Linked DNA regions of Ovis aries. The main gene of each other region encodes a partner of the protein of the gene in region 2 in a complex. Links are inferred from orthologs where the notes say so. Each region holds a gene or a part of one and is shown on either strand. Other genes may lie near its edges.

Evidence for each region.
Region 1: POLR2L (region 2) and ERCC2 share a complex: the UniProt entries of both Homo sapiens proteins name them as parts of the TBP-based Pol II pre-initiation complex. The link is inferred for Ovis aries from reciprocal best matches to the Homo sapiens genes POLR2L and ERCC2.

What each region holds. Positions count from the first base shown.
Region 1 is NC_056067.1:52,781,747-52,785,897, forward strand, and holds the start of ERCC2 (general transcription and DNA repair factor IIH helicase subunit XPD), read right to left. Parts: upstream 2,839-4,151; 5' UTR 2,806-2,838; coding exon 2,801-2,805; intron 2,497-2,800; coding exon 2,397-2,496; intron 711-2,396; exon of another isoform or gene 639-710; intron 463-638; coding exon 385-462; intron 303-384; coding exon 240-302; intron 59-239; coding exon 1-58. UniProt on the Homo sapiens protein: ATP-dependent 5'-3' DNA helicase. Component of the general transcription and DNA repair factor IIH (TFIIH) core complex, not absolutely essential for minimal transcription in vitro.
Region 2 is NC_056074.1:46,914,934-46,918,595, reverse strand, and holds POLR2L (DNA-directed RNA polymerases I, II, and III subunit RPABC5), read right to left. Parts: upstream 2,279-3,662; 5' UTR 2,245-2,278; coding exon 2,150-2,244; intron 767-2,149; coding exon 658-766; 3' UTR 509-657; downstream 1-508. UniProt on the Homo sapiens protein: DNA-dependent RNA polymerase catalyzes the transcription of DNA into RNA using the four ribonucleoside triphosphates as substrates.

The DNA.
Region 1 (4,151 bases), on a different chromosome or scaffold from region 2:
GCTTCTCGCCCTCCTGTTTCTCATAGAAGCTGAGTAACTTTCGAAGTTCTTCAATCACCTGTTACAGATGATGAGGGAGGGGGGAACTGGCCTCAGTGAAAGTCCAAGCCCCTGTCCAAGCAGGTTCTAGCCCCTTCCCCAGCTTCCCACTGGGCTCAAAGCTATGGTGGCAACCACCAGGGGGACAGATGGGTTAGGGGAGAGTGAGGGTGGGGGGCCTGGGATAGCCCAGGGCTCACCTTCTCAATCTCAGGCACAGTCCTCGAGCAGTAGATGAGTTTAGTCACCTCCAGGGGATACGCCTGCCGACAACCATGGGCTCAGCCTCGGCCCCCATCCAGCCTCCTCCTGCTGCCCCCTCCTCGGGCCCAGGGAGTCACTTACCCGCTGGTACGCCATGATCAGGGCCAACAGGGACACTGTCTTCCCAGTGCCTGAGGGCATCTCCAGGACTCCATGACCCTGTTTGTGGTGGGCAGGAGGGACACGACACAGGCGCTCAAAACTCCAGGGACACAAACTCTGGGACCCTTCCCCCAGAATGAAACCAGCTTGGAATAACAGGACACAACATAGCAGTTAGAAATCTAGGCCTCAGGGGCAGTGGATTTGAACCCCACTTTTGCCACTCTGGAATCTCCCTGGTGGCTCAGACGGTAAAGCGTCTGCCTGCCGTGCGGGAGACCCAGGTTCAATCCCTGGGTTGGGAAGATCCGCTGGAGAAGGAAATGGCAACCCACTCCAGTAATGTTGTGTGGAAAATTCCATGGACTGAGGAGCCTGGTGGGCTACAGTCCATGGGGTCGCAAAGAGTCGGACACGACTGAGCAACTTCACTTTCACTTTGCCACTCTGGTTGAGTGGTCTTAGGCAAGACCTTTCAACCTCTCTGAGGACTCTGTCTCTAAAAATTGGCCTACAGTGGTGAAGACTGTGAGCCTTCACTACCGAGGGCCCAGGTTCAAACCCTGGTCAGGGAACTATGATCATGCAAGCCATGCAGTGCAGCAAAAAAAAAAAAAAAAAAGGGGGTTGGGGGGGTCTAAGAAGCTCTTCCTCATCGCAGGACTATGACGATTAGGGACAAACTGCAGGCTAAATATTTAGTACAATATCTGATTTGTATGTATGCTAAGTCCCTTCAGTCATGTCCCTTTGCGACCCCATGACTATAGGACTATAGCCTGTAAGGCTCCTCTGTCCACAGGGTTCTCCAGGCAAGAATACTGGAGTGGGTTGCCATGCCCTTCTCCAGAGGATCTTCCCAACCCAGGAATCTCCTGCATTGCAGGCAGATTCTTTACCGTCTGCACTACCAGGGAAGTTCTATCTGATATGTAGGAGCCCTCTCTTTTAACCTAGCACAGCACTTAACTCTGTGCCTGGCACTATTACTAAGTGTCTTACATCAGAGTATCTCAGCCTCAACTCTCTTGACATTTGGAGGCCGGATACCATATGATTGTGGGGTCTGTCCCCCACTGCAGCAGCAAATGTGGCCTCTACATACTAGACACCAGTTGCACCCCTCCTCCACTAGTACTGACAACTGGGAATGTCTCCACACTTTGCTGAATGTCCTCCGGGGGTCAAAATGGTCCCCAGTTGAGAACTTCTGCCTTACTTAGTGAATTAACCCCTGCAGCCCTCACTAATATGAAAGTGAAAGTAGTGAAAGTGTTAGTCACTCAGTCCTGTCCAAGTCTTTGCAACCCCATGGACTGTAACCTTCCAAGCTCCTCTGCCCATGGAATTCTCCAGGCAAGAATACTGGAGTGGGTTGCCTTTCTCTTCTCCAGGGGATCTTCCCCACCCAGGGATTGAATCCCGGCCTCTTGCATTGCAGGTAGATTCTTTACCATCTGAGCCACCTGGGAAGCCCCATATTAAGCTGAGGTAGGTACTATTACTATGGCTATTCACCAAGGTGAAGACTGCAGAGGGGAGATTAAGTGATGATTTACCCAAGGACACACTACCGTGGGTAGCCAATTCCTGAGTCTCTATATGCCTAAGCCTACCACGGAGCAGTTCAGCCTTTGATAAAGGTCAGCTGATGCTATTTTTAATTACTATTATTTGAGATACCAAGTTTGGCAGCGGGGGCTATCACAAGGACCTCAGATTTCTAAACTCTAGACCAGAGGTCCCCAGCCTCCAGGATCTAATACCTGATGATATGAGGCCTAATGATCGAATGTCTGATAGACCCGATGTAATAATAATAGAAATAAAATGCACAAAAATGAGTTTGAATCCCTCCGTCCGCAAATTGACTTCTCCAAAACTGGTCTTTGGTGCCAAAAAGGTTGGGGACCGCTGCAATCTCAGTCTTAAAGGCGCGTGTTGATCAGCCCCACCTCTCAGGGGGGCAGCGGCGGGCCCGGCCCACCCACCTTGGCATCCAGCGTGCGTTTCAGCTCCAGCATGTACGAGAACTGCTCCGGGTAGATGTAGTCGTAGGGGAAGTAGACCAGCAGCCCGTCCACGTTGAGCCTGGCGGCGGGGGCTGCCGGATCAGTCCCCCGTCCCCTCAGCCCCCTCTCCAGCCCCCAGACTCCCCTGCCGCCGGGCCGAGAGCGGTTCCGGCCGGCTGGCCCGTCCCGCACATCCCCCCGGTTCTCTAGCAGCCTCCAGGTCCCTTCGGCATTCCCTCGCTGGCCCTCCCCGCAGCTATCCCCACCCCAGCGCGGCAGCCTCCCTTCGCTCCGCCGGGACCCGAGGCCTGACCACGCGTCCCCGCATCTTCCGGACCCCCACTCCCGCTCGCGAGCCGCGAACCCGAGACCCCCCCTCTCACTTCATGGCGCCGGTCGCGGTTTGGAGCGGCGTCGGCCCGCCTCCCTTATGAATATTCAGGAAAGACAGGCTCCTCAGGGTATCCTCGAGGCGCTGCCCCACCTTCTTCGCGACGCCATTGGCTGAACCTGCCCGTCACTCCCCATTGAAGTGACGTCAGGAGACAGTGCGCGTGCGCACGGCAATTGCGGGAGGCGGGTTCCGGGGTAGGTGTGGCCGGAGGCATCGAGGAGGATCGCCGAGTACCGAGAAGGAAACGCTGATGGAAGAGAACTGAGAGAATCGATCTCATTCGCTGGGATTCGATCTTCCTGCGTCTGTCCAGATTACCTGAGCAGGGGATGCATACTCAATTTTATTCTATTATATTCTTGGTTTTAAGAGGTACACCTCCCTTTCTCCCCAACTTCAATAAAGTAACCAAGTCTACAATGGGAGAACCCAGAGAGGGTCAGAGCCTGGGGGATCATAGAGGGCTTCCTGGGAATCTTCGCAACCCAGGGGCCGAATCTAGGTCTCCCGCATTGCAGGCGGATTCTTTACCATCTGAGCCACCAGGGATGCCCTGTGCTGTACATAGTCGCTCAGTCGTATCGGACTCTTCGCGACTCCGTGCACTGTAACCCACCAGGCTCCTCTGTCCATGGGATTCTGCAGGCAGGAGCTCCCAATTATCATGTCCCGTGTATTTGCGCTTCCTGATTTCCGATGCACGCAGTAGTAACCGCAGTTTGCAGCAAGCAGAAGCGAGCAGAAGCTGGGAACAAGAGCTTAGTTCCTGATCAGGAACTTAACCTCTGGATCTCAGAGGCCAGAGGCTAGGACCTGGATCCCCAGTCGTTGCCTGCCGCGTTAAGAAAAAATTCGGGGGAGGAGGCAGAAGGTAAAGAGAAAAGTAAAAAGTTTATTGGAAAAGAAGAATACATGTGGAAAGACGCAGGGGCAAACTCTGGGGTTACACCTTTAGGAAGTTTAAATCTGTTGTAAGGGGACAGTTTTCCAGATCTTGGTCTTCCTTCAGGCCAGTCATCTTGCTTTGTCCTCCCTCCCTCCCCTGAGGTGCCCACTCAACCCTCAGCCAAGATGAATCTGGAGGTGAAGTCTTCTGGGACCAGCAAGCCGCATTATGGCCTGGAATTACCGCCCCACCCCCCACCCCGACTTTTGACACACCGGGAGCCTTTCTGCCGTCGTGGTGTGTCTCCCATGTCCCAGAAAGGGTGAGGGAGGGGAGCGGAGAGCCCTTAATCCTTTACTCAAACAGTGTTTTGCCCCTCTTTGTCCTTGCCATGATTATTATCTTAAGGTGTTTACAAGAGACAAAGACAGGCTATTTACCCTGTATCTGTTGT
Region 2 (3,662 bases):
ACAGCTCTCTAGTTGGTTTTCAGGGCAACGCATTTAACGCCTGGGCACTGAGAGCCCATTCAGAACAGATGCCCAGGAGAGCTGCCTCAGGGCACCTCCCACCTGCTGTGGGGTCTCAGGGGTGGAGTGGAGCTGCCTGCCTGCTGTGGGTGGAGCCTGGAAGCTTCTGGCGGCAGCAACCTCAGGATGCGCAGCTGTGACCACAGGGAGCACTCCACTCAGAGCGCAGAAAGTCTGGAGCATTAGATACCGGGGGAGGAAGTGGGGACCTCTGTTCTCGGCTGAAGGGCACCCAGAACAGCGCTGTGGGACGCCGGTGCCCCCACCCCAAGCACTCGTGACATCTGTGTCTTCTGTGGGGCCAAGCGCCCACAGAGGAAGGGAGCCCCGTGCTGAGCACTCCCGTATGGAAGGCCCACCCTCCTCCTGGGCCGTGCGGGCCTCGGGCACCAGGTAGAACCCCAGGAACCGGCGGGGCAGCCCACAAACCCAGACCAACTGTTAGGACTTCCTGGCAGTCCTCAGAAACATTTACTAGACAGTTCTTTCCAGGGAGGAAGACCCACGCCAACAGAGCCGTGGGCGGGCGTGGCTTCCGGCGCCCCACACCCCAGGGGAACAAGCCATGGGTGAGACGCCCCCTGCGGCATCGCGGGCTCACTTCTCCAGGGGAGCGTAGTTGAGCAGCTTCTCGATCAGGTCCACGTGGGCAAGCAGCATGCGGCGGCAGCAGTAGCGCTTCAGGCCCAGCGCGTCCAGGGCGTCCCTGCAGGTGGGGAGAGATCTGGCTGCAGCCTGCTCCTCCCGGCAGACAGAGGGCCTCGCCCGGGGGGAGCAGCCCCCCTCACCTCCCAGAGACACGGCCCCAGTCACCCTCAAAGCCTCCTGTGTGTGGGCACCAGCGTGGCACCCATAAAAGGGGCGGCCGCTTGGGCAGCCCTGGCCTGGGGCATCTCGGGGAGGAGTCTGGGGCAGGCTGCCAGCATTCACTCGCACTGTGGTCATTCCAGCAGCCTCCTCGAAGCCTGGTGCAGATACTACGGCCGTCCGTTGCTTCCCTATCCACCCAACACAGCTACACGGAGAACCTCACCTGCTACCACACTCCAGGTCCCAGAGGTTCACACTTTGATAAGGATGGGGCTGTCCACACAAGGACCAAAGTCAGACTCTTGTCTAGGGTAAACTCAGACAAGTAAGGCGGTAACTGCAGTGCCAAGGGGCAAACACGGAAAAGGGACCCCACAAAAGCCTGATGATGACGGCTATGTGATCAGAAGCTTGTCCTATGTACTAAAAAAGCCCGTGAGTCTGCAAGACACGGTTTGTTGTTCAGCCGCTCGGTCGTGTCCGTGACGCCATGGACTGCAGCTCGCTGAGCTCATGTTCTCCTCTATCTCCCAGAGTTTGCTTGAACTCCTGTCCATTGAGCTGCTGATGCTACCTAACCGCGTCCTCCTCTGCCGCTCCTTTCTCCTTTCGCCTTCCATCTTGCCCAGCATCAGTGTCTTTGAGGACACGGGGTGGGCCTAATAGCAGGGAGAACTTAGGGAGCTGACGGACAGAGGTGGCCAGGGGCCTATCTGCGGTGGAGGCGTGGAGCCAGAATACTCGAGTCCCCAGACACCAGCGCTTGACAACTAGCTCCCCTCGTCTGCCTGAACTGGGGGGTGGGAGACGCTTTCCTGAGAGCAGGTCTGGAGAACAGGGCTGGCAAAGGCTCCGGGAATAAAAGCCTTGCCGGCGTCACCTGGGATCTGATGAACGTCCCTTGCTCCTGACCTGGAGACCAAGACCCCTGACTGCCGCCTCAAGACCCCAACCCCTCAAGCCTGGATCCTCGACAGCCGCCCGAGACGCCGACGCCGCAGGCTAGGCCCCCTTGACCCTGCCCCGGGCCCCGCAGGCCGGGGCCCCCGTGTCCTCGCTCCGAGCCCCGCAGGCTGGGAAACCCTCCCCTTAGGCCGGGCGCCCCTGTCCTCGCCCCGGGCCCCGCAGGCCGGGCCCCCGTCCCGCCGCCCCGGGCCCCGCAGGCTGGGAAACCCTCCCCTTAGGCCGGGCGCCCCTGTCCTCGCCCCGGGCCGCGCAGGCTGGGAAACCCTCCCCGCCCCGGGCCCCGCAGGCCGGCGGCCGGGAGCGCGCCCCTCACCCCTCGGTGTACTCGGCCTGCAGCAGGCCCAGGTAGGCCTCCCACTTGTTGCCGACGATCTTGCCACACGTGAAGCAGCGAACGGGGATGATCATGGCGGCGGCGCGGGAGCTAGAAGCTTCGCGGCCCGGCGGCCCGACGCCCGGATCCCCCGGCGCTTCCGCCCCGGCGTGCCCATGGCGCGCCCATGGCGCGGGGGTGCCGGCCCGGCCCGCCCCGTGCACCTCCCCGCGGCCCCGGCGCCGCCGGCATCCGCCTCCCGCCGCGACGGCGGCTCCTCCGGCGGGCGCGGGCCCGGGGGCCGGGGCCCGGGGGCCGGGGCCGGGGGCGGGGCCCGGCGGGAGCCCCCCGCCCGCGCCTTGGTACGTCCCGGCCTACGGCGTCCGCGCGGGGCCGCAAGGGCTCGGCGGCGGCGTTCGCGTTCCTCGTGCCCGGCCGACCGACTCCGCGCGGCGGGCGCGAGGCAGGTACAGCGCCCCTGCCGGGCCGCGGGCGGAGTGCGGCCGGGCCCGCGCGAACTGGGGCCCCGAGCGCAGAGCGCGAGCCGCGTTTCAGCAACAAGTTGCGAGCCGGGTCTGGGGCGCGGAGAGCGGCCGGAGGGGCCGGGCAGGGGGCGGCCTCTCCGCCTGGGGCCGCTGCCCGCGGGCACTCGGGGGTCTCTGCGCAGAGTCCGAGGGACCCTCGAGGTCGCCGCCTGGCCGGGTCGCCTGCACAGTAACGGTCCCGGCCCGGTAGCTGCCCGTATCCCTGCAGGCGGGCGGCGCGGGGCGACCCAGCCGGTGGGGGCTCCGGCCGTCGCCGCGGTCAGCTTGGCCCCCCCTCCTGCCTTCTTCCCGGGGGAGGCGCTGGCGGCCCAGGCTCCAGTCCGCGCTCGGCAGGGGCGGGCGCCAGTGACCCGGGAGCGCCGGCTCTGAGGGTCGGGAGGGCACTCGGGGTGTCTTTTGAGCTGAGACTTAAAGAGGGAGCCGGACAGACACCCGTCCGTGCGGGACAGAAGCTGTGGGAGCTGGAGGCGGTGGGGGTTTAAAGGGAGCGGGGGGGGGGCGGGGGCGGGGGCTGTGTCTCGGGAAGTGGCGAGAGGTGAGCCCCCTGATCCTGTGACTGGCGGCTGGGAGAGGGCTGTGTGCACTGAGAAGCAAGGAAGGCTCCCTGGAGGAGGCGAGCTTTGGGCTGAGGAGGGTGGGCTAGGCACCTAGGCAGGGTCTCCTCATATTTGCTGGCCTGGGGCGTCAGGGTCTCTGGTTGGGGTGGGGGGTGGGGGTGGGCCCACCATGTTGGGTCCCAGGCTTTAGCTCAGAGTCCACCTGGGGTGGGTGGTGGACTCTGACTGTAAGTCAAGGGGCTGGGAGTGGAGGTCCCAGGGAGGCTGGCCAGCACTTCTGCGTCTGGAGTTTGGCTCTGGCCACCCTCCCCAGCGGGGTTCGCCGTCCCCCACCCTGCCACGTGCGGAGCCACGAGCAGAAGCCACTTCCCTGCCCTGCCTGCCCCCCCTTCCCAAGCTGACTGGACGCAC